Xenopus tropicalis: one gene and its partners. The protein of the gene in region 6 interacts with the protein of the main gene of each other region in a pairwise test. Links are inferred from orthologs where the notes say so. Each region holds a gene or a part of one and is shown on either strand. Other genes may lie near its edges. The genes, in order: atp6v1d, aamp, mfap1, ppp1r18, golga1, vps52 and rnf41.

Evidence for each region.
Region 1: the proteins of vps52 (region 6) and atp6v1d interact in binary tests that used the Homo sapiens proteins (3 or more experiments, as listed by UniProt). The two-hybrid records come from large-scale screens. The link is inferred for Xenopus tropicalis from reciprocal best matches to the Homo sapiens genes VPS52 and ATP6V1D.
Region 2: the proteins of vps52 (region 6) and aamp interact in a two-hybrid assay, tested with the Homo sapiens proteins (2 studies listed by BioGRID and IntAct). The link is inferred for Xenopus tropicalis from reciprocal best matches to the Homo sapiens genes VPS52 and AAMP.
Region 3: the proteins of vps52 (region 6) and mfap1 interact in binary tests that used the Homo sapiens proteins (3 or more experiments, as listed by UniProt). The two-hybrid records come from large-scale screens. The link is inferred for Xenopus tropicalis from reciprocal best matches to the Homo sapiens genes VPS52 and MFAP1.
Region 4: the proteins of vps52 (region 6) and ppp1r18 interact in binary tests that used the Homo sapiens proteins (3 or more experiments, as listed by UniProt). The two-hybrid records come from large-scale screens. The link is inferred for Xenopus tropicalis from reciprocal best matches to the Homo sapiens genes VPS52 and PPP1R18.
Region 5: the proteins of vps52 (region 6) and golga1 interact in binary tests that used the Homo sapiens proteins (3 or more experiments, as listed by UniProt). The two-hybrid records come from large-scale screens. The link is inferred for Xenopus tropicalis from reciprocal best matches to the Homo sapiens genes VPS52 and GOLGA1.
Region 7: the proteins of vps52 (region 6) and rnf41 interact in binary tests that used the Homo sapiens proteins (3 or more experiments, as listed by UniProt). The link is inferred for Xenopus tropicalis from reciprocal best matches to the Homo sapiens genes VPS52 and RNF41.

Annotation. Positions count from the first base shown.
Region 1 is NC_030684.2:119,233,308-119,237,434, reverse strand, and holds the start of atp6v1d (V-type proton ATPase subunit D), read right to left. Parts: upstream 2,801-4,127; 5' UTR 2,783-2,800; coding exon 2,742-2,782; intron 1-2,741. UniProt on the Homo sapiens protein: Subunit of the V1 complex of vacuolar(H+)-ATPase (V-ATPase), a multisubunit enzyme composed of a peripheral complex (V1) that hydrolyzes ATP and a membrane integral complex (V0) that translocates protons.
Region 2 is NC_030685.2:85,162,780-85,166,921, reverse strand, and holds the start of aamp (angio-associated migratory cell protein), read right to left. Parts: upstream 2,801-4,142; 5' UTR 2,780-2,800; intron 1,799-2,779; 5' UTR 1,759-1,798; coding exon 1,614-1,758; intron 278-1,613; coding exon 122-277; intron 1-121. Other genes in the region: uncharacterized protein LOC100488277, read left to right, coding at 3,188-3,242. UniProt on the Homo sapiens protein: Plays a role in angiogenesis and cell migration. In smooth muscle cell migration, may act through the RhoA pathway.
Region 3 is NC_030679.2:107,681,155-107,684,030, forward strand, and holds the end of mfap1 (microfibrillar-associated protein 1), read right to left. Parts: intron 2,607-2,876; coding exon 2,498-2,606; intron 2,424-2,497; coding exon 2,263-2,423; intron 2,099-2,262; coding exon 1,939-2,098; intron 1,710-1,938; coding exon 1,620-1,709; intron 1,011-1,619; coding exon 831-1,010; 3' UTR 501-830; downstream 1-500. UniProt on the Homo sapiens protein: Involved in pre-mRNA splicing as a component of the spliceosome.
Region 4 is NC_030684.2:75,522,123-75,526,274, forward strand, and holds the start of ppp1r18 (phostensin), read right to left. Parts: upstream 2,801-4,152; 5' UTR 1,109-2,800; intron 1,067-1,108; exon of another isoform or gene 945-1,066; intron 423-944; exon of another isoform or gene 374-422; intron 1-373.
Region 5 is NC_030684.2:28,208,733-28,212,933, reverse strand, and holds the start of golga1 (golgin subfamily A member 1), read right to left. Parts: upstream 2,801-4,201; 5' UTR 2,694-2,800; intron 2,655-2,693; exon of another isoform or gene 2,131-2,654; intron 2,083-2,130; exon of another isoform or gene 2,064-2,082; intron 1-2,063. UniProt on the Homo sapiens protein: Involved in vesicular trafficking at the Golgi apparatus level. Involved in endosome-to-Golgi trafficking. Mechanistically, captures transport vesicles arriving from endosomes via the protein TBC1D23.
Region 6 is NC_030684.2:72,052,502-72,054,801, forward strand, and holds the end of vps52 (vacuolar protein sorting-associated protein 52 homolog), read right to left. Parts: intron 2,269-2,300; coding exon 2,157-2,268; intron 2,071-2,156; coding exon 1,952-2,070; intron 1,871-1,951; coding exon 1,724-1,870; 3' UTR 501-1,723; downstream 1-500. UniProt on the Homo sapiens protein: Acts as a component of the GARP complex that is involved in retrograde transport from early and late endosomes to the trans-Golgi network (TGN).
Region 7 is NC_030678.2:137,450,486-137,453,985, forward strand, and holds part of rnf41 (E3 ubiquitin-protein ligase NRDP1), read left to right. Parts: intron 1-385; exon of another isoform or gene 386-583; coding exon of another isoform or gene 584-598; intron 599-1,608; exon of another isoform or gene 1,609-1,714; intron 1,715-3,235; coding exon 3,236-3,500. UniProt on the Homo sapiens protein: Acts as E3 ubiquitin-protein ligase and regulates the degradation of target proteins. Polyubiquitinates MYD88. Negatively regulates MYD88-dependent production of pro-inflammatory cytokines.

The DNA of each region.
Region 1 (4,127 bases), about 47 Mb from region 6:
TTTGCACACACACAGGATAAGGAACCTCTGCCAAAATGTTTCTAAATGAACATCCTACATTGTGCCTGGGGGCTGCCATGTTTCTTGGCTCAGCTGAGGCATTCTGCATAGAGAGCAATAGCATTGCCACCATTGTTATACTCAGCGGGGGGTTATTATTGCAGCCTATGGAAAAGCACAGCAGCCAGGTGAACCAAACACTTTCCCTTGTCCCAATGTGACTGCTACCGGTTCCCTCCATCCCTTCCTTGCTGGAACCAAACCCGGGGCCAGTATATTCCTGCTTGGCTGCCAGGCAGTGTTGCCTAAACAGAGCGCTTGTTTACACTGAGCACCCGGACAAAAACTCAAAACTGGCCACATTCCTGGCAAGGAACATAATGATGTGTGGGGGCTGGGGGGGCAGTTCCCCCCCAAAGTGCAGGAGTCTCTGTCTCTTGAATAACAACAAATAGCATTTATATAGTGATAAAAGCTCCCTGTATTGTCAAACATAAGGATATTTTAAGGTCACGGAACTCCGAGGTGACGTCTAATATCCTCATATCTTACAAGAGGGGGTACATTATTAATTACAATACACAACTTTCAGCGAGTCGTGTGACAGAAATGACACCACTGAGCGCTGTTTGTATAGATGTAGTTCATAGGATATTCATGGCTCTTATTTATTCTACAGGTATAGGACCCGTTATCCAGAATGCTCAGGACCAATTGTATTCCGGAAAAGGGGTCTTTCCGTAATTTGAATCTCTATAACTTAAGTCTACAAAAAATCACTAAAACATTAATTAAACCCAATAGGATTGTTTTGCATCCAATAAGGATTAATTATATCTTAGTTGGGATCAACTACAAAGTACTGTTTTATTATTACAGAGAAAAAGAAAATCAGTTTTAAAATTTGAAATTATTTGATTAAAATGGAGTCTATGGGAGACGGGTTTTCTGTATTTCAGAGCTTTCTGGCTGGATAACAGGTTTCCGGATAAGGGATTCCCTACTTGTATATAATTTTAGTTATGTGACTATATAGCAGCGACGCTGAATTAGTATATATTAAAAGAGTGGCTTGTTTCAATAGTCAGAACCAGCAGTGCAAAGGACTGACTGAGAGAAATAATGGAAATGTGCAATAACTGTATATAGGGAAGAGGAAAAAAAAATATATATATATACACAGACATATTTACAGTATCCCCTTTCATCAGCAGAAAGGTCAGTGTGTGTAGTCACAACCTTCTCCCTGCCATTAGGGAACTACAAGTTTCAGGAAGTCACAGAGCAGGGAGGGGAACGTACAGGCTAAACACAGGCAAGTGAACTGTGTAACTGTGTGTAACTGTGTGAGTGTGTAACTGTGTGAGTGAGTGTGTAACTGTGTGAGTGAGTGTGTAACTGTGTGGGTGAGTGTGTAACTGTGTGGGTGAGTGTGTAACTGTGTGGGTGAGTGTGTAACTGTGTGGGTGAGTGTGTAACTGTGTGAGTGAGTGTGTAACTGTGTGAGTGAGTGTGTAACTGTGTGAGTGAGTGTGTAACTGTGTGGGTGAGTGTGTAACTGTGTGGGTGAGTGTGTAACTGTGTGAGTGAGTGTGTAACTGTGTGAGTGAGTGTGTAACTGTGTGAGTGAGTGTGTAACTGTGTGAGTGAGTGTGTAACTGTGTGAGTGAGTGTGTAACTGTGTGGGTGAGTGTGTAACTGTGTGGGTGAGTGTGTAACTGTGTGGGTGAGTGTGTAACTGTGTGGGTGAGTGTGTAACTGTGTGGGTGAGTGTGTAACTGTGTGGGTGAGTGTGTAACTGTGTGGGTGAGTGTGTAACTGTGTGGGTGAGTGTGTAACTGTGTGGGTGAGTGTGTAACTGTGTGGGTGAGTGTGTAACTGTGTGGGTGAGTGTGTAACTGTGCGTATATAGTGAGGCTGCCGCACTCCCCAGCCGACACAAGTGCATGGGTTTGGCTAGTACTATGCAGCCGGCTAGCAGCTCCCATATCCCCCAGCCTAACATGGGCTCACTAGCAGCAATGGCTGGGCGCTCAGGGGCAAGGGGTGCTGGTCCCCCCAAATGGAAAAGGGTGTATATCATTAATTAGGATGTCTCAGGCCTCTGCTGAACTGCATCTCCCACTATCCCACTGATGGCCTTTAGCTGCCATTGCATGTATGTATATCTTTATTTATAAAGTGCTACTTATGTACGCAGCGCTGTACAGTAGAATACATTAATACAAACGGGGTTATTAAAATAATAATAGATAAATACAAAGTATAACAATAAATACAGATAAATACAAGATACAGTTGCAATAAGTTAAGAGTCAAAGACACAGAGGATGGAGGTCCCTGCCCTGCAGAGCTTACAATCTATATATCCATTAAGGTAGTGGGAGTTGCTGAAGGGCCCCAGGTAACAGCTGAACCCTTACACAGAATGCTTTGCCTTTGCTGCTAGTATCTGTTCCTATCCCACCCTAAACCCAAGCCAGTGGGTGAATATCACACACACACATTTATCTATCTATTTTATATATATCTTTATACACTACAGGGATCCCCCCATCAACACATACCCCTATGAGCCATTTGCCTGCCTGTAACCCCACTGACAAATACCCCAAAAGATTATAACCAACAAGGGACATCTGTGGCTCTAGTTATTGCAGAACTACAGATCCCAGAATTCCACGCCAGCAGATGCCCAAGCCCCCGATCACGGGTATATCTGACCGTATCACCATACTTACATCCTGGAAGGGAACACCTCGATCCTGTCCTTGCCCGACATCTTGACCTGCGATCTGCTTCTCCCCTCACTGACACTCGGATTCCTGCGGCAGAACCAAGAAAGCGAGAGATTGTCACGTGATCCAGGAAGGGAGGGCGTGGTTCTGTCACCTGAACATCTCTCGTCATGTGATCCGCAGCAGACGGAAAAATGCTGCGCCTGCGCACGAAGAGCGTTTTGAACTGTATTAGCTTGTCAGACGTTTTATGGGTTTCTGCACCCACATCGGAATATTTTATTCGTATTCCTTTTTTAATATGATATGAGTTACACGAAACAACATTTTAAAGCGATAATGTTCCATCTTCAATATGGCGCCCTGTAACCTCCTAACCCCGTAATGGTAGCACCGACTTCCGCTTCCGGTGTCAGCGCTGTAGTTGTGGGGTTGCGCATGCGTGTTGTTCTTTGCCGGAACGCATGCTGATGAAATAGTGCGGCGTGAGCTGAAGGAGCCCGCCCGGTGCCAACGTTCTGTTTGATCGTAGGGAACATCAGCCAAGTAAGGCTCCGACTCATGTATCTGTTCTAATAGCCGCCTTGGCCGCTCTGCTGTGGAGCTTTAGCGGCGTGGAATCGCCCTTCTATAACTATCTGTACAGGCTAGCGCGGGACACTGGGAGTTGTGGTTCTACTGTAGTTGGATGGGAATTCCCTGCAGATTCCTGTAAAACGTGTTAAAGCGATCTACCCACCCTTATACAAACGTGCTATGGCTGCTGTATATGTACGGTGGGTAACATCTCGCCTTCTAGCTGTCCCAGAACCATCTCCCTGCTGGGGCCTTTGTTAAAGGGGAATTCTCCTTAAAAAAGAAAGTGTGTTTTCTATAATGAAAGATAATGTTCTGAGTAACTTAGTTTACATTCATTGCACATTGTCAGGAAACTTGAACTTATTGGGACATGTAACGGGAATTAAAGCAGTGTTTAGCCTTTACTGTTCTCTGGTTCTGACTGTAGGAACATTGTAGCAGAATTCAGTTCTCCTCTAGATTTGTTTACCTGTTGGCTTGTGCTACATTGTTTCAGGAGTCAGAGCCAGCAGTGCAGATTATATTGCTTTCAACCTGCTGACAGCCAGCTGTTGTTGAATCTGCAGCCCTCAGCAGTTGGTGGATGCTGGCACTTGAAGTACACAGAGGCCCAAACATCCCCAATAAATAGTAACTGGCTATTACAGGGGTCCCCAACCTTTCTTACTCGTGAGCCACAGTCAAATGTAAAAAGACTTGGAGAGCAACACAAGCACCATAAAAGTTCACGGAGGAGCCAAATAAGGGCCAAAACGTTAGTGGCCGATTGAACGATCTTTCATGCGACCAAAAGATCTGAAATCGCCACGT
Region 2 (4,142 bases), on a different chromosome or scaffold from region 6:
ATGTGATCCAAGTCATACTACAAGCACAGACTTGGCTTATCTTTATACACCATTGGCACCCCCTTGTGTTGGCTTATAATGCACTCTATTTGCCCCTTGAGAGGACACTGCCAGGTCTCACCTGTATGTTTGGAGAATGTCAGCTCACTGTCGTCATGGGGGTCCGTTCCTTCTTCCACTCCCTCATCCTCTGTCTCCCATTCCTCATTATCAGCCATTTCCCCATCTTCAGGATCATCTGCAAAGTCGACGTCCTCCATGTCGCTGGCCAAATCATCTGGGCAAGACAGACAGTCAGCAGGGCATTAACCTCTCCATAACAACATATACATTTCTACAAGAAGGGTCAGGCATGTACCCTGCATATAGAATTATAATCTTTCCTGTTTCAGAACAATAATGCCCCATGTACAATGCCAGGTCCATATAGAATGGGTTTGCGGACAAGTGGAGGACACAGACTGCACAGAGCTCTGACCTCAACCAATTGATTTGGAACCCAAACTGTGAGCCCGGCCTGATCCCCAACATTACTGCCCAACCTCACTAACGCTCTTATGGCTGAATGGGAGCAACTCCCAGCAACACTGTTCCACCATCTAGTGGGAACCTTCCCAGAAGGGCAGGGGCAGTTATAGCAGCAATGGGAGGGGCAACCCAACTGAACCCCTGTGGGATGAATTGGAACCCCAACTGTGAGCCTGATCCCCAACATCACTGCCCAACCTCACTAATGGGAGCAACTCCCAGCAACACTGTTCCAACATCTAGTGGGAACCTTTCCAGAAGGGCAGGGGCAGTTATAGCAGCAAGGGGAGGGGCAACCCAACTGAACCCCTGTGGAATGGAACCCCGACTGTGAGCCTGATCCCCAACATCAGTGCCCAACCTCACTAATGCTCTTGTGGCTGAATGGGAGCAACTCCCAGCAACACTGTTCCAACATCTAGTGGGAACCTTCCCAGAAGGGTAGGGGCAGTTATAGCAGCAAAGGGGCAACTTCATATTAATGCTCTTGGTTTAGGAATTTAATGTGGGACAAGCAGGTGTAGATACGTTTGCCCATGTAGTGTCACAGCTGGGTTGTCAGAACCAGACACACCAGGAGCTGGCTTGGGGGTTCTTATAACGCCCAGTCTATTTGTAAAAATAGTTTAATAGTTACCACTTTATTCCCCTCTCCCAATCTAAGAGCATGGTATGGTCCACACAGAAAGGAAACCAAAGACCCTTGTTGCTTGCATTAATAGTGTGCAATACATTGTGTGTCTTCATATTAAGGAGACAGCGAATCCAGGATTTGGTTCAGGTTTTGGCAAAGATTCTGCCTTTTTCAGCAGGATTCTGATTTGGCCGAATGCAGGTGTCTGGCCAAACCCAAATCCTTGCAGCTTAGGATTCGGTACGATATTTGGACAAATCTTTCAAAAAGGATTCAGCCAAACCCAAAAATAATGGATTTGGTGCATCTACTACTTTATATAAAAGTCACAAGGTACAGGGTTCACCCAAAATTGTGCGCCTATGCCAAACATAATGGGCACGGCTGGAACTCTGCGCAGTATCTGGATACGTAGGGGGGGTTTCAAGGAATACGAATCAATCAGAGATACCTGGATCTGGTTCTACGTCGTTCAGCTCCAGCACCTCAATGATCTCCTCATCCTCGTGAAACTGTGCAGCTTGCGCCTGGGCTTCTTCGGCCTCAGGGCTGGGAGACCCAGAACCTCCAGCCTCCCCGGCTCCGGCTCCTTCCATCGTCTTCTGAGGATTGGGACACAGGGCGATGCTGTGATCTCTACAGGGGAGATTAGAAATCCTGGGAAATCACTACTCAGGAACAGTTCCTCTTAACTTGCAATAAATCTTTCCCTTTAAAGGCTCCCTCTCCGTTCCCAAGATATCACTGGGTTACGGGCACAGCCTTACCAACGCTGGCATAACAGCAATCAGCAGCGGAGACAGCAGCCTTGAAGGGAAATATTTATTAAATAGCTAACAGCGCCAGTAGCAGGTCTCTCTGGCAATAAATCTGGAGAACATACATGTACATACAGTGTCGGACTGGCCCACCAGGATACCAGGAAAACTCCCGGGGTGCCCAGGTGTCAGTGGGCCCCCCTGCTCCTGCCCATTTGGCCTGTTTCATGGCCATTCCCTATTTCTGAATGGGAAGATAGAGGGGAAATAGATGGAAGAATAGATGCTAGCATGTAAATAAAGGAGACTAGGAGAATAGAGAGGTTGGGTGAGGAAAGGAGGAAAAATAGTTTGGAAAGTAGGCCTAGGGTCTAAGGTTTCCTGGTGGGGCCCTGGGGTCCCAGTCCCACACTGGGTACATAAGGGGAATAAACTTAAAGAGCTATAAATTCATTACACAATTTGTAACTGTAATTGCTATTTAAAAGAGCGGCCTGCTTATCTTCTCTGCACTGTTGGTTGTGACTCCTGCAGCAATGTAGCAGAAGCCAGCAGTGCATAATGGCCAATACATGTACAGATAACACACAGCCATTGGACATCTGTATATAATCTGTATATAATCTGTATATAATCTGTATATAATCTGTTGCATTGGTTCCTTTAGGCTGAATACTCAGGATTGCTGTTTAATGGGGAGACCTGTAGCCCAGGGGCCCTCAGGGACTTAGTAAAGTCACCCCAACATCACTTTCCTGGACCGTAGGAAGCAAAAGGCACAGATGGGAAAGGAGGGCCCCAAGGAGCTGATCTGCCCTCCGACACTTCCCCACACACGCCCACCAGTCACACTTTGTACCTTTACTTTGCAACCGGTTACCGTAGCGATACCCCAGAGCAGGCGTTCCCTCCAGCAGGCGGTCCCTCCGGCAGGCCAAGTCTCACACACACGTGGGAACCCCTCCTCAGCCCTGCGCTTCCGCACAACCAAACTTGTTCCATCAGCTGCTGGAAAGCAGCGACGCGCAGCCAATAGGAAGTGAGCACTGCGGCTCTAAGCCAATCCAGTGCCCCGCGTATCCTAGCATGGGAGTGTGACCGCTCAGCAAGGAGAACATAAACAAGGCTTACTGCGCAGGCGCGTACTAGTGCATGCCGGACATGGAAGTTTTCTAACACGTCAAATTCTGCGCGGGAACTACTACACCCAGAATGCCTTGCGCCTGTCAGGATGTAACCGTGACGCGCCTGGTTACAAACAGGCAATATGGCGGCGGCCGTGAGAGGGATGTTGGGGTCAGTGAGAAGAGGGAAGCCGTGGGGTAAGATTGAAGGTTTCCTGTTTCCTGTTTAGGGAAGGGGCACTCTCTGGGGATGCTGGGAAATGTTGTTTATTAACTGGACAGATATTGGCAGTGGGTTCCAGACATAGCCGGTCAGGGTTTGCTTTAGTGTAGGGCAGAGGCTCCCAGCTTCATAGGGACCCGGGGGTAAATAATATTTAATTTACTGTTTTATAATCCTAATGTTAATAACAAGGATGTGTATCCTGCAGCCCTCCTGTTGGTGGGAGTTGTAGTTCAACCACAGCTGGAAAGGTAGGGCTTCCTGTCACCCAGTCACCCAGTCACCCAGTCACCCAGTCACCCAGTCACCCAGTCACCCAGTCACCCATCCCTCCTCAGTCCCCTCCCCTGTCTTATAAACTGCGGGGCCTCCAATAGGGGCTGTTTTGGTGCCCCCCCCCCCCCCCCCCCCCCCCCACAGGATTCCAGGGCTGGGTGGGCAAATAGCCCCTGTCTCTCACTCTGTGACTGATGGGTAACCCCGCCCTTTCACCTCTCTTGTTCCATTGGCCCCCAACATTTCATGGCACAATGTGGCCCCCCAAGCGCTAGGCCCTGACACCCCAAGCATACTATATACAGTGTGAGACAGGGATTATTGGCCCCCAAGCGCTAGGCCCTGACACCCCAAGCATACTATATACAGTGTGAGACAGGGATTATTGGCCCCCAAGCGCTGGTACTGACACCCCAAGCATACTATATACAGTGTGAGACAGGGATTATTGGCCCCCAAGCGCTGGTACTGACACCCCAAGCATACTATATACAGTGTGAGACAGGGATTATTGGCCCCCAAGCGCTGGGCACTGACACCCCAAGCATACTATATACAGTGTGAGACAGGGATTATTGGCCCCCAAGCGCTGGTACTGA
Region 3 (2,876 bases), on a different chromosome or scaffold from region 6:
CTGAGACAGGGACTCATGATTGCTTTATATGTTACTCTGTGTGTCCAATGTATGAAACCCACTTATTGTACAGCACTGCAGAATATGTTGGCGTGTTTTAAATAAATGTTAAAAATAAATAATAATATTATTGACTATATGCCTGGGTGGAAAGATTTTCAAAATTTCAGATATTTTGCCCCAAAAAGTTTAACAGCAGATCTGTATATGACTGACCATGTAACTATAATGCATGAAGCCAACCCAAATTCACTTTTCATTATAAAACTACGTACCCAGGCAACTCTTTGTCACTTGTACTGTGCTTACTTTCCAGTCAGCAGATAGCATGTGGGACAATAAAAGGTCTTGCATAGACAGATACCTGTACATCAGACCAATCCACACAAGATGCTGAATGCTGGACATGAGAAAATGGACCAGTGGCTTTCATTACTGTACAAGCAAAACAATTATTTCACAGGATTGATAGAGGGGCATACAAAAATCGTTAGGAGATATGACAGAGTAACTTTTTTATTTACAAATATTATCAAATCTTGCCTCGGTTTCAGTGTTCCTGAATGTCAAAATGATTCTAACTAAAAAATACCTTTTATAACATTTTTGAAAAAACTGTGAAAATCTCTGTTTCTCCACAGCTTGGAGAATGCTTTGTGATTTGCTAATGACAAACCCAACAATTCATTCACACATTAAAAAAAAAAACATTACATTACTTGCAAATTATATATACAGAGTATGTGCAAGTAATGGTGGTCCTTGTTTATGAGCTGCAGTTCTTTTTATAACCCAGAAAATATGGACAAGTCCCTCATAGACACGGACATTTATGTCTTTCTTTTCTGCACAGTCGGCCTCTCAAACACATCCCTTACTCCTGCTGCCTTCTGTTTGAAGAACTTTGTGTTCTGTGGATTGTCCTGACCCCAAGCAGAGTCAAATGAAGTGGTGTCCTGATCAACCAAGTGAGTATATTTTGTCCGACCTGAACGTCCAAAATTCTTGACCTGAATAAAACAGATGATATCAATTTATGAACTGGATTGGAAAACCACAGATTAAAATCTTCCATGCTATGAACCCAACATAAATGGCATAAGTAAATTGTAGCCAGTGCAAATTAAGGACATGTTTAAGATATATTGGGCTATTGTGTGGGGACTAGCAGAGGATTTCACAGCTACTGGAAATGAAAATTTTGACAAAAAAGGACAGTTTAATATTTATAACCATTTTGCTCCATAATTTCCAGTTGACTAACATCTCCCAAGCAATTTTGTTTGCTTTATATATAGAATCACTAGAAAACAAACACTTCAGTTTCTTGCTTTTGGAAAAATATTCCATTGTATTTATGTAATGGAAACATTAAGGGGTGAATGCATAATGTTTTCCCTCCTGCATATATTTTATAACAGTGTTACTGATGGCTGGCAGTTTTAGACTTTGCTAACTCTTCATTGTTCACTACCACCTTCCTAATCACATCCAGTATCCCTCCTATACTGTGATAATACACATTTTTGTGTGGCCCAGTAAAACAGGGAATCAATCTAATACTTTAGAATTCAGGCAGAGCAAAAAAAAGTAAGAAACGGCAACATTCTTGCAATTACCTGCATGACCTTGGGCAATATAGTCTTATTAAAATGATCCTCCAAGGTGGGTGCACTGAAATCCCTTTTATATACATCTTCATCTCCATCCTATGGGGGGAAAAAAAAGACAAAGCTTTCTGTAAAATAAGCTTCTGTAAAATTCATCAAAATTTATCAAAATGTGAGAGTACCGAGCTCACCACAGAAAAATTCACCAATTTCCATAATATCAGATTTTTAGAAGCAAATTTATCAAATGGTGAATTCTAACATTTACTCTTTTAAAAATCCCACAGGAATGAATATAGAATGGGTAAATTAGTTAAATAGTTCTTACCATGAAGAATGCACCTCTGTGGTAATATTTTTGCAGAAATTTGTATTTCCCCTTCAGTGCCTTGTTGGTTATTATTTTGCCGTTTGCACGCAGCTCTGCCCGTCTTTCCTCATCTGTCATGTTACGCAGACGATCAACCTCTGCCTTTTCCTTCTCCATCCTGTTACATGACACATAAACAAAATAACATTTAACTTTAGGCACACAAGTCCAGGTAAACTGTGAAAGTTATCAGTATTATCCAAAGTGTAAAGAAACCATGGCAAGCAGTAAATGAGCCGTACAGTATGACTTTATCCATAGAGTCGGGATAGAAATACTTACGCCTCTCTTTCTTCTCGGTCTCGCTTGATGCGCTTTAACTCTCTTACTTTCCAGGCTTCATATTCCTCTTCATCATTCTCATCATCTGTGTTGAGGGCATCAAGGGCTGCCAGGGATCGCTTATTCTCTTCAATCTCCTTCTTTGTTTCCTCCTCTACAATCTGTACATGAAATATTGCAGTGAGGAAGCAGAAAGTTCTAACAAAACTACCACTGCATCAAGACAAATACTTACCTTCAAGGTGTATTTCCTTCTCTCCTCTGCCATTCGTTTTGTCTCTGCCTCCAGCTCCTTCTGTTTAAGCGCCTCAGCTTCTTTTTCCTGCACAGTAACTCTGTCTTTCCTGAAATGGTTACAGCAACATACTGTAAGCCCTTTGGTATTTAACATCAAGCAGAGAGCCATTTCATATATGGAAAATCACAGTTGCTATAATTTTAAATGTCCCAAATACATTAAAGATATTTTTTTTTCAGCCTGCAGCTGCATAATGCAGGTGGGTCACAAGAAAATAAGAGCAAAGATGCTGAGATAAAATGCAGGGGAGCAGGGGAGACTACCCCCTCCCAAAAAAAAAACAGATACTGCCCCTTTAATTTGTAACCTTGGAAAC
Region 4 (4,152 bases), about 3.5 Mb from region 6:
AGTAATGACAGGAAAATAATTTCATACAGCTAAAAAAGAAAGTTACACTTAAAAAGTCAAATGACATATAAAGAAGCATGTGTAGAGTTCATTAGAGAGGAAGAGAAAGAGGAAGAGAAAGAGGATACGCAGAATAAAAAGAGAAATAAGCATGGGGGTAAGAAAAGGCTGAAATACACTGTTAGAGGGCTTAATTAAATGTATGGACAAAACAATTCTGCAATGTTTTATACAAAATAAGGGTCTAGATAATGTAACTAAGGTTCTGAAAGTATTTTCAGTATAAGGCATTACAATTTTGAATTAAAATTTAAAACTGTTTAGTATCAACCTTTATACATCTGTTTTTCTCATGGTACAAACAAAATCTTACAGATTATAATTGTCTGGTCTTCAAGTTGGGAAACTCTTCAGATACAGATCTGTGGAACAATTGGAGCAACCAAATTAAAATGAGGAGGATGGAATTGTCTAGACTGACAGATAGCCATACTGCTGAACCAGACAAAGAAATGTAAAACATACATTCTGAAAAGGGAGAAAAAGCAAAATAGGAGAACTAGATACAAATAATTCAGACATGCCTGCAAGAGATGAGTGGGCAAACAGGAAAGAGGGAGATGCACTGACAGTTCTACAGAAAACGGAGGAGATGTACATCGCTAAGGTTTAGGAGATTCATGGAAGGTAAAGACAAAAGCAAAAAAATAGGCAGCTGCATACACAGCAGTACTTTCTATGCACCGAGTAAAATAGATTTAAACAGTGAGAAGGATGTTAAGTCTATATATTTGTTTGTCTATGTATGTATGTAGGAGACTGTATATTATCGCACAAATAACACTAAAGTATGAAAATATACTGCATAACCTGTGTTGTAGCGATTGGTGAGGATTTAAACAAAAGGTAAATCAGAGTATGTTCTTCTCTCAAAAAATACTTACTAGAGTGGGAATCACACTTTATAGTGGCACCAAAGAAATAGAATAGAGGACAAGTTGGTGGAAGATATGAAGTGAGAGTGCGCAAAAGTGATCTCATTGTACTTGTATGCACATATGAAATGACATGCAGAAACCCACAGGATATAGTCAGATATGTTACATACCTTTATTGTGAGTAAGCAGGCACAATCCCCTCTAATACATCCTATAGCCCAGCAGGATGCCTTGATGTTAGGAGAAGTGAACTGATGTCTGGAGCAGTTTCCTTTGTTAAACTTAAACCCAAAAACATAAGAATATGTAGCGTTTCTCTGTGGAAAGTCCCAAAGCGTCACACGTCTTCAAGTGAGCCCAATTCCTTCAGACCCTTAAAGCAAATACAGATGTACAATGTAAAGACTAGGGACTTATAGCTTGGGCAACCTTTGCATTGGAGAGGAATTCCCAGAGAGTGAAAGAGAAGGGTGTGTAGGAAGAAGGGATTGAATCAGACAGAAGGAGAGAGGGGGGTGGAGGGTGAGGTTCCAGCTATGCATAATGCTAAGAGTAAAGGGGGAGGGTGGAGAGAGGAAGGATGGTGGGGGGAGATACTACAGACAAGTTAACCCTTACATAGCACTGTACTTTTTTCTATTGACATCGGTAAGGCAAATGGGCTTTGTTTTAAGAAAATGCTGGGATTTTTAGTTTTTAAAAAATCATTTTAATGCCCTATTGTGAAAAAAAGCAAAGACTGCTCTTAAATATCCACTACAAGACACACACAGACATTCTGTATTTTTTATACTCAAGATACTAAATCAGTACAACGTACACACAACAGTGGGGGACAGGATGGGACTAATGGAAAAAAATACTAAGCAACAGCACATGACAGATTATTTATGCTTTAACATAAATATCCTAAACAGTAAGAAGTTTTAGCTTTTTGGATGTTTGTTTTGAGTTTAATAACATACTACTAAGGCAAATTGTGCATGAAATAAGAGCTACCTCATGTATTATATTTTATACTATTTATATGGACGGACACAACACAATACAATACATATGTAAAACTTAATGCAGAGTGCTTCAGTTATGCGTGGTTAGGGTGAATTTACAGACTGAACACTAGAAAGCCACACAAAGTATAAGAAACTGAACCATAGGCAACAGTTACACAAAGCTGGTTTTTGGTCTGTGTATAAATGCAGGCCAAGAAACAGATGAACCACTCACCTGCACACAAAGTGAATTTCAGCACAGAAAAGTGTCAATATGCATTTTCACACTGAAATCTGCTCTGTGACTGTACACAGGCTGAAGCAGTGCTTATTAGCACAGATACCAGACCAGGCTGATTTGAGTGGTTGAGCTGCTACTTGCATCTGCATTTATATGCAGCCAGAGTTGGACTAACTCTGTGGGCTTCCACGACCCAGACATGATCTCCTTTCCCTGATCGTGTTGAGGTATAATGTAAGCACACTTGGGAGGGATGGAGTTGGTCTGTGGTGCCCCTGGAGGGGGTGTGGAGGCCACTGCTGAGGCCCCTGGGGCGGCAAACTAATGGGCCCTGCACAACCCAGTCTGACCCAGTATGCAGCCCAAAAAACAGCTACATGTGATCATAGCCTTAGCCATTGGCATTTATTTTGTGTATAACCTGATCATTCAGCATAATGCATTTGGGCTTGTGCGCCATGCTACAAGGTTTTTAGCAATCCTATTTAGGGAAAATATAATCCATCACAATCTGAACATACTTCTTACTCCAAGTATTTTTATCCTGTAGTTATATAGCGCTGACCTATTTTGCAGTACATTTATGGAATGCGATATTTGGAAATCTTTTTATTTTGAAAGTTCTGAAATACAGGAAGCCCACCACCCATAGACTCCATTATAAGAAAATAATTCTATTTTTTTTTTAAATGATTTCCTTTTTCTCTGTAGTAATAAAACAGTACCTTGTACTTCATCCCAACTAAGATATAATTAATTCTTATTGGACACAATACAATCAATACAAGTACCTTTTTTAGTCGATTTAAGGTATGGAAATCTAAATTGTGGAAAGATCTCTTATCTGGAAAACTACGAGCATTCTGTATAACAGGTCCCATACTTGTACTTTACAGAGATTACATACTATATTATATACTTTTGCATCAGGCCCTGCCCCTTTTGAAGCTTACAATCTAGGGTCCCTATCACATTCACACACACTATGATCAGTTTTATAAAGGAGCCAGTTAACATTCCTGTGTATAGATATAGATAAAGCTATGGTCATTGCTATTAGCTGCAGTACTCTTCCCTTAACCAGATCAATAGGCATTGTGTACATCAGTGCTGTCCAACTGGCACAACCGCACTCTATACTAGAATTAAGCCAAATTTGTAGTTTAAAGAAATGCTGTCATGAGGAACCATGTTTTTTTTTTTCAAAATGCATGTTAATGAAACTTCTCCAGCTGAATCCTGCATTGTAATCCATTTTTTAAAAATACAGGATTTTTTTTTTTATATTTAATTTTAAAATTTCACATGGGGCTAGCCATATTCTTAATTTCCCAGGGTGCTACAGCCATGTGACCTGTGCACTGATAAACTTCGGTCACACTTTACAGCTGAGCTGCAACTTGGAGTGATATCATCCCACTCCCAGCAGCTGATCATCAGAACAATGGGAAGGTAGCAAGATAGCAGCTCCCAGTAGATATCAGAATAACACTCAATAGTAAGAAATCCAAGTCCAGCTTGAGACTCCTCCAGTTACATGGGAGTAAAAGAAACAATAGGTTACCTGAAAGCAGTTCTAATGTGTAGCACTGGCTCCTTCTAAAAGCTCAGACTCCGGCACAATGCACTGAGATGGCTGCCTACACATCAATATTACAATAAAAAAAAACCCCAAAACATTTGTTGGTTCAAGAATAAAATTTTAACTGGTAAGAGTGGATTATGCGCTATGTAAACAGTGTAATTTAGAAATAAAAAGTACACCATAAAAATCATGACAGTATTCCTTTAATAACCAGAATTTCAGCTCTTAAAGATACCAGGAGCAAATTTTTTTTGCCAGCCCTGGTGCAGGGCAACTGCCACCCGAGTCAAGATTCTCACCTTGCCCGACGGTAGCAGTGTCCTTGTATGTAGGACATTTGATGCTCGACTTTACAGCACTCAATGAATAAGTGCCAAGTTGGACATTACTTTGCCA
Region 5 (4,201 bases), about 44 Mb from region 6:
CGGGGAGATTAGTCGCCCGTGAACAGGGAGATTTGTCGTGGGCGACTAATCTCCCCGTGTGCCAGAGCCCTAAAGCATTGCAGGGGCAACATGTCCTAATGATCCCTCAAGAACAACAACAGGAACTGATACCAAGGTGCCTCGCAGTGAAACATGACTGATCTAATCTTTCATACGTTAGAGTTAGCAGAAATTCAGATCCATTACATAGGGAAGCCTGAACGGCCCACAGGCTGCTCTGACACACAGAAATGACAGTCTTTCCAGCCAACAGGAACGAGCCACTGAAATCATAAAGGGGAAGGCTGACAGATCAGCTGTTAGGATTTCGTAACACAAATTGAGTGACTGGACGGAAACAAATGCATATACTACACACAAACTTTAAAGCATTTCAGGGAAATATGGAAAGCTTCAAGCAATCATTATTTGCAAACACAAATAACAAAAAAGAGGGACCACTAGCCATGCCAATCAAACATATAGCCATTCATCACTGTACTACAATTACCAGCATCCACTGCTAGCCTTCTTTCATTCTGGGTAACTATCCATATTGTGATCACTATATAAAAATGATACCTGGATGTTATTCAGATGCCTATGGCCCCTCTAGATCAATACCGGGGTATTGTGCATGCAACACTAAGGCTAGGGACCCATAAAGTTAGTCGCCTACAATACATTGCTGCTACCGCGTGCGACTACCCACTCCAAAATGCCTTTCCACCGACAACAATAGGAGTTGCCAGTAGAAAGGGCAATGCATCACTTTGGCTTTCCGAAGGCACTCAAAGTTGCCTGCAGAAGGAAACCTTGCGCAACTTCAGAAAGAGTCACTGGTGGAAACACATTTGGAACAGTTAGTCACTCGCAGTAGCAGTGATCTATCGTGACCAACTCTCTCCATGGGTCCTTAGCCTATGGCCAGTGACACACAAAGAGATTAGTTGCCCTGCGATTAATCTCCTCTAGCAGTGGCGAGTAATCTCCTCTAAATGTTTTCCTGCCAGTAGTAATTTACTTCAGCTTTCCGAAGTTGCCTCGCAAGGAAACCAAAAAAGAGTAAATATACATTCAGCTCACATTATAATAAATGGGAGATGAGATATTAATCAATGTAATAGAAAGATTCACAAACCATTGGTATTTTTAAAAGACAAAGAAAAATGGATTCATTGGGGAGAGCCAATATGTTAGATGTCCCTTTTTTTTTTTTTATCCCCAGGCTGGTGCTCCTTTTAGTTAAAACTGGAAAGTGGAGCACTACCATCCTACCTTACTGGCAGGAACTAGGGACACCTGGGGATGGTATATAAAACGGAAGCATAGTGCTCTCTTAGTTAGTTATTTAGTTAGTTATTTACTGGGGAGTGCATATTGGAACCACCCCTCAGAATTCATCTTTCTTTATCCTTTAAATTAAGTAGCAAACAACAGCAAATGCCTCTGTTTTCTTAGATAAAACTGCTTAAAGAAAAACTCTAATTGGATGCTATGGCCATAAGCTGGCTATACATTCAAAAAGAGAGTCAAACAATTAGATCAGCCCGATATTGTCCACCTCATCTCATAAAAAGAGTGGATCTTTCCCAGATATGCCCACCTTGAGGTCCGACTTGGCTGCCAGATCATTGCAACAAAAATGCGGGCCATCGTTGCAAGGACCGCAACCAGAAGCCGATGTGGTCTTTACCCTGATGAGATTTTTACAGCTGGCCAATCAAGATCTGGATGATTTTGGCCAGATATATGTCAGGCGGGCCCATCAGAGGGCCCCATACATGGGTCAACAATCTGCCTACTTGGTCCAGAAGGCTTTGCCCAGAAATTGGTAGTTCAGAATATCAGAAAAGTGTTGTCATCAGAAATATTGCCTTGTTTTCTCAGGCCAGTGGTAAGAGAAGTAAATGCCTGATCCCAAAAGGGAAGACTTTAGAGGTTTCTATGCTAAGTTCACCATTGCAACCCAAGAACAGCCTTATGGATCTGTTTCTCTAGCCATTGCTGAACTACAACTCCCAGTATGCAGCGGTCAGAAGCATGCAAAGGGTTCAAAGTACCTGTATGTTATCCTGGACACCAGACAGGTGCTGTTGCAAGGTCAGCGTATTAGTGTTTGTCTCATACCTTTCAAAACTGAAAAATACACCATCGCTGTAGCTCCACAACAGTTACATTCCATTAGTGTCCCTCTTTAATGATGATACCAGCATTTCAAGCGCTGCTCAGCAGATGTGGCCCATAATGTCAGGTGAGATGGATTCCAATTGGAGGGTTGTTGAAGAAGGCAGACAGCAGCTGTTGGCTTGGTCACAACAGCTGTTTAGGTCAAATGTGGTATCCTGGGATGTACCACTTAGCACAGGGGAGAACTTGCCAATAAACCCACTGCAGTTTCTAGTAGCACCAAACACAGGCCACTGTACTACCCCTATGTGCTGTATAAAGTGGCAAAGGGCAAATACAAGAAAAATGGAACATGGGGGGGAGAGAGTAGTTGTGAAAGGGGCAGCATGCCTTCCTATGCTTGTTTCCTATCACAATATCCCACTGGCTTGCATCTCCCTAGTAACATTAGAGTTCTGTCAAAGGGGTCGTAATATGCCTCGTCTCCTAGTACTATACGCCGCCTTTCTCTAAATGTACAGAGCCCTAGGAGGGAAAAAATGGGTTAGAATGGAAATTTTTACCTCTTACAAATGTTATAACATCACAGCTGAAAAGATATCCTATTTGCTCCGTGGCTAGGTTGAAACGAGAGCTGGGCGTGTTCTTTCATTCTTCCACAGGAAGTGGTCATAACTGTGAGTGACACCTCAGCTATGCCGCAGCAGCACAAGCCCCGCCCCCGTCCCTGTGCTCTCTGAGCCTGTTACAGCCTTGTCACATTGTTCTCTAAGCCTGTTACAGCCCTGTCACATTGTTCCTATTCATGGTGGCTGGAGCTGCAACTCTCCCCAAACACTACCATTGTGTACCATAATTATCCATTCGCTCACATTCCCTGGAGTATAACCTTTACTTGTGTATAACAGTCTCCTATGGAACATTCACCATCTATTGAGGCAGTGGCTCTTGTTGTCAGATAGCCACAACTCCCTTCAGTAATAAATTTGGGCTGTAAGTGTATGTAATGTAACTAGGAGACCCTCCTGATTGGTGATGTGTGGGTACATACCCAAAAAGTGGGGTTACTGGTGTGGGATCAGGCAGGTGGCTTTAGGGGGGCAGCCCTTGGGCACCTATATAATACAATTTTTTTTTTAAATAAATGAATAAAAAACCTCCCAAGCCACCAGATCGAACCAATTGAAATCCCTAGGGGTGAGGGGTACAGGCCAACTATAGGCAATGGAGTGACGTCACTTTGGAAGTGATGTCAACACGAGGGGCACATTTAGGTACGATGCCTAGGGTGGCACTGGATATGTAGCCCTGATATGCAGGTCACAAAAACTATGACCTGTGCCCAACCCTGACCTGCCCAAGATCAAGGAACCTTTCTTTGAACTGAACCAAAACCTGTAAGTGATGTCATGGAATGGAAGGGGCTCGCCACCAGTCCTAGACTGGCAATCTGTGGATTCTGGCAAATGCCAGAAGGGCCTTGGGGGCTGTTTGGGCCTCTGTGTACTTGAAAAGCCAGGGCCAATTTTGAATCCCAGTCCAAGCCTGTCTGCCACTGACATTACTAACAGCGAGGGCTTGCTAGTACGTAACAAGCATGTTCTCAAAGTGGCAGGTCGGGCAATAGCAAAAGCTGAGGCTAAACCTGTACCAACAATAGCATTTTGTGACCTGAACCCACTTAGGAAGTGGTCCTTCAGCTAGGCACTAGGTATAGGATCGCATGCACCTTCACAAAAAATTCAGCCTCAGGTGGTTGCCCCACTAGCCCATCAAGAACAAGAATTGCCAGGACCATTGGCTAGAAGTAGACAAGGACAACTGGAGGGCTTCTTTCTGATATGTCCTATAAAGACCATGTTTATTCTTCAGGTTAGGTTACCCCACCGATTGATGTTTTGGCAATAATCGGGCAGATGTCGATCAGACAGATTTGATTTTTCCATTGGATCGGAGACGGCATCAGCTCATTGAAATTGAAACAGCCCATTGTAATCAAGTTTGCCTGAAGTGGGCATATCAGAGAGATTTGTTTGTCTTAGCATGCATGGCCAGCTTTAGAGCAGTCGCT
Region 6 (2,300 bases):
CTGTTACACTGGTAATCTGCTACCTTACAAGGACCAAACAAGTAGTTTCAGTTATCCTGTATAGAACAGGGGGCAAAAACCATATTAAAAACAATAGAGAAAAAGTATGTTAAACTTAAGCCCTATTCATTGCATCCATGTTTAACAAGGGGTATTCCTACTAAAAAAATAATTTTTTTGCCTAATAAAAGAAAACATAATTCCAAGCAACTTTTTAATATCAACTTATTAAAAGTTATTAGTAAATGTAATTTCTATAGAAAGCAGCATTTGCTGAACTCCTGGTTGTTACTTTTTAAACAATGTTGCAAGTGCCGGGCTCCTCCAGCAAGTCAGGTCTGTAAAATCTGCTGGTGTTTTGTTACATTGTTTCAAATGCCAGAGCGACCAGAGCAGATAATAGAAAGGACAGGCAGACAGTTCTTTTAATAGCAAATATATATATACATACAAATAACTAGAAACCCATTGCAAATATGTAATGCGTGTATATTGCAAAGTTGCTAAGAATTAAGTTTTCTTTAATTAAGCAAAAAATTATTTTTGGGGTTGACATGTCCTTTAATCTCTTTTAAAAGAATGACATTCAGTATGGACATCCATACAGGTAGCTGTTGGAGGGCTAGTACTTTAGATCTCTTCCTTACTCTTTTAAAAGATATATTATTAGAGTGGGGATTGGATAACATGCATGTAACATTCCAGTGTAGTAAAACAGCCTTCGTTTAGATACTGTGTTTAAAGAGCCTGCAAGACTTTCTTGTGACATACATATTGACTGGCAGAGAGAGTGCTCTGGTGTCTTTATAGGCTTATTGGAACTATCTCAAACATAAGCTACATAATTGGGTCTCAGATGTTTCTCTTAAGCCTTACTTGCACTTAAATGTTAATAGAAAGCGATGGAGGGAACTCTAAATCTTTGTATTGTATGTTAATTGCTCTTGACACAGAGCAACGTTTTCTTTTGTAACATTTTAGTAAATGTGGCTTTTAATACTGGTTTGTATCTATTTTTGCTTAAACTGTGTGGATAATTTAAAACAAAGATGTGTGTAGATATATATATACAGGTATAAAAATGTAGCCATAGCACTTTGGAACCCTTGTCTGTTATTGCTTCTAGTAAAGAACATAACTCCTTTACAACGAATGTGTTATCGTGTCCACAAAGGACTTGCAACTGCATCTTCCTTTAAGTTGTGGCATTTTACATTAAAACCCCTATGCATTTAGAATGTATTACCCCTGTACTTTCTACTAGCTAAGCTAGTGTTCTCAATCTGCACAGGCCTGTTTCAGCTATTGCTCATTAGCACCTCACTGTCCCCGGGGAATGGATAAGCTGCAATAACATTCAAATGACTGCACAGGAAATTATACATTTTCTTCATGCTGTGAGACTACATAAAACTATACATATTTATCCAAGATTTGTTACCAGTAGTAAACTTTATTTTACCCATACATTTAGTTCTGGCATGATTTTACAAGCAATAGTTAAGCATAGGAAGAGAATGCCATTAAATATATTTAAACTCAAACATTTGGTGGAGCTACCTGTTTACCTGTTGGTACAGGTATCTTACTGACTTAGCAAGGCAAAAGCACTTGCTCTTTCATTGTTAAGAAATTTACATCACTTGATGCATCTCAGATTAGTGTTATATACACAGGTAACAGAATCAGTTTTATGATACTTCCTACTTCTACCTTCTTGGGTTCAGAAATTAGGCTTATGTTTTTTGAGCTCAACCATTAGGTGATGCAGGTTTATTAATTCTGAGCATACAGGCAGATTCCTGAGTGGCGGCTGGGAGAGTATCTTATGGAAGCGGTGATAATACTGGATCAGCTGTGTTAATGCACCCTGTAAAAATGGAGAGAGTTAGAATAAAAGGAAGAACCCAAATAAAGGTCTCTCTTAAATAGCCCTTCCTAATTCCCTTACTTGTATAATGCTAGTTCCATTCTTAAAGTTGGTAAATGACCTCATAACATCCTGACTCAGATTCTCCACTGCTTGTTTCCATGTTGATGAGAACCCCCGTACAAGCTGAGCAACACGTGCTACAAGAAATTCAGACCGTTACTTTATGCAGTGAGTGACAATAAAAACAAATAGTAAGACTTGTTAAAATACAAACATCCTGTACCCTCTTCACTTCTGAGTCGTTCCTGCTGTCCCTTCTCAATTAGAGATTCTGACTCCTTGACAAATGCAATCATTCCTCCAAATGATGGAGCGAGTATCTCTTCAATAAACTCCTGGCATTTTAAACAGTACAAGGACAAAATCA
Region 7 (3,500 bases), on a different chromosome or scaffold from region 6:
CAACCTGCATGGTTACGTTTCTTGGCAGGGTGTAGTGATATGGTACAGGTATAGGATCTGTTATCCAGAAAGCTCTGAATTGTGAGAAGGCAATATCCTGTAGGTTCCATTTTAAGGAAATGATTCTTATTTTTAAAATCGATTTTCTTTTTCTCTGTAGAAATAAAACAATGCCTTGTACTTGATCCAAACTAAGCTGCATAAATCCATATTGGTGGCAAAACAATTCTATTGATTTTATTCAATGTTTAGATAATTTTTAGCAGATTTAAGGTCTTGTGATCCAAATAAGGATTCCTTTATCCCTTATCTGTAAAGCCTTAGGTCTTGATCATTTTGGATAATAGATATACCTATATCTGTGTTTCCCTCATCTGGAGTGTAGGTGCCCTAAATAGAATGCTGTGACATGGACCTTTACACATGTACGTTTTACCCTGCATTCTGCCGAAGAAGAGTGCAGGAAAATACACAGCCCATTCTTCCCTGTCAGACTGTACTCATTCAGGCACGTGCAAGCACAGAGCGCAGATGGAATGCAACATGATGGCTGTGTGTAAAAGCCCTAAATGCTTTCTGGATAATGGGCTTCCTAAAGGTAGATTCCAAACCTATACAATCATACATGCATTCCTTCATCCACTACTCCTGTCATGAATTTGAATCTTAAAATTGAAGCAAAGCAAAAAATCAGGAATTTAGCTTGTGCTGCTTCAGGCGTTGTAACTGGCTGTTTTTCCCTTGTGCTGTGCATGCTTTCATGGTCCCTCCTCCCTACTGGAGCTTGACATCTGGTCTCCTAGATATCTGGCAGGAGTTGCCTATCAGAGGCATGTCCAATTGAATTCGATCTGGTCCTGACTTCAACTGTGCATTCTCCTGGTCAGCAACTGGAGGGATATGAAGTCAAGTGGCTGGACATGGCAGCCACCAAACCTGGGTGCTATCTAGGTATCCATCTATCGTCTGTTCTATTCAACCCAAATTTAAATCTTGACACTGCTGTTTTATACAGTAGGGGTGTTACAATATCCCTTCTTGTCCTTGGTGAATATGCTGATTTCAAAAGTTGAACGAAAGCCAGTGCTAGAGACAGAAGGTCCAAGTCTAAACAAAACACTATTTAAAAAAAAAAAAAAAAAAAAAAAGCTGTATTATAAATATTTCTCTTTATTGGCTGATGATATGCTTGTGCATGCAGCCCTTCACCAGAAATAAATAATCTGTACGCTAAGTAACAGATCAGCGTCTGGGAGTGTTCTGCAATTCTGCCAAGTGGGCACTTTAATGCCCCTGTGGGATATGTAAGTGCCGGTCACATGAACCAGCCTGCTTTCCTAATGCTTCTACTCTGCTTGTCTTGCACTGTCCCTAGATCTCATTCTGTCTTCCCTCCTCCAAGAGCCAGGGAAACTTGTTCCGTTGAGCTTCTACTTTCCAAGGTAACACTAAAATGTGAATCAAGCAGTGTAGATCCTGTGCTTGGACAATTCTACTTGTATTCTAGTGTAGCTGCAGTTTGTGCACTTGTTGCCAACTCAGTAAGCCGTATATGTACCTCTGTAACTCTTATGTTTCTTTAAGGACATTTATTGTCTGCCTCCTCTGCCACAAGGTGAATTATGAGAGGTTTGCTGATAGTCCACTTCCTAGACCTTAATCCCTGCTGCCACCATGCTACCTTTATCTGTTGCTGAACTACAGTTTATTGAGGGTTTGTTACGCTATTTCCCTGTGTACCTTTTTATTTGCCAATTTAATCTTGTCTGTTATGCCAAGATAGTATATTAGCTTATATTATTTTTTTTTTTCATTTCTATTTTATTGTTTTGAGTGTTTTTTTTTTTTAACTATTTGTATGAATAGTTTATCATTTGTAAAATTAGCTTAAACTAAGTTTATATGTAGACCAGCTACTAACATGACCAATGCTAGACCATTTATATACGATGACAAATGTATGCTATGTTAAGGGATTTGGAATACTAAACCTTTTTTTAGGCTTTTGCTTTTGCTATTTATTTTTTTACTTATCATATATTTGTGTTGATTGAAGCTTTTTAGTTTACATAACGTTATAGTCAGTTGGTAGGGAAACTAAACACAGCATATGAAGTCATTTATTGTGCCTTCAAGTACAATGGAAGCTCTGGGGTACAAGTTTTTTAGGTACCGAGTAACTTTAATCACTAACTTTAATCACTAACTCCATACCCAGGGCCACCTTTCCACGTCTTCAAAAATTGCTGCCTGGTGAATTTTATGGTAGGGTGGGCAGCCACCTTCTTTCCAAAACTTTCCCAAATGTTTGTGCACATGTGCCATGCCTGACCTGGTGTAGAGAATTGCTGTGAATAAGCTGGCTCCCCACCGCCATAAACTGCCCTGACTAGTGCACCAATGAGTTACTGAAGGGGGTTTAACAAGTTATTTTCCCTCCAGTGACTTTACCTTTCTTTGTCTTTTGTGTACTTGTAATCTGTATGTTTGATGTATTTGCACTTATATTGTATCACCCAGGGATGTGTAATATTCTACAAGTGCTACAACTCATACCACTAACAGAGAGTGGTTCATTGTAGGACAGTCAGGGCAGCCTTGCTCTTCAAGGAATAGAAAGTAAGACTTCGGTATTGCAGGTCATTTTCTACATTGTCATTTTATGTACAGGTATGAGACCTGTTATCCAGAATGCTTGGGGCCTGGGGATTTCTGGATAAGGACTCTTTCTGTAATTCAGATCTCTATACCTTAAGTCTACTGAAAAATGATTTGAACATCAGAACCACAATTTGATTGTTTTGTATCCAATAAGGATTAGTTTTATCTTTTGTTTGGATCAAATACAAGGCACTGTTTTATTACAAAGAAAAGGAAATAATTTTTTTTAATTTGATTAAAATGGAGTCTATGGGAGATTGCTTTCCCATAATATGGAGCTTTCTGGGTAACGGGTTTCTGGGTAACTGATCTCATACCTGTATGTAGTTAGTAAGATGACCATATATTAAGTATATGTAGTTGGTAAGATGGTATGTCAGAGGTAAGTGTTGGGTGATAGATTTATTGTCCTATGTTCTTTAATTATGGTAATGTGTTGTGTTGTTCATTATATCTACCTTATAAGGCCACAAACTTATTCCTAAAAATCTTTTGTAAATGTGGATTATATTGTATCCAAACTCATTTGCTTTTAAACAAGATATACTTATTTATGCATGTCTTCAACTTGCAGGCTCCTCACTGCGAGCACGCATTCTGCAATGCTTGCATTACCCAGTGGTTCTCTCAGCAACAAACCTGTCCTGTCGACCGCAGTGTTGTGACTGTCGCCCATTTACGACCAGTTCCCCGCATCATGCGGAATATGCTATCAAAGTTGCAAATTACATGTGACAACGCAGTTTTTGGCTGTACCACCATTGTGCGACTTGACAACCTCATGTCTCACCTTAGTGACTGTGAACATAATCCAAAGCGACCGGTGACATGTGAGCAGG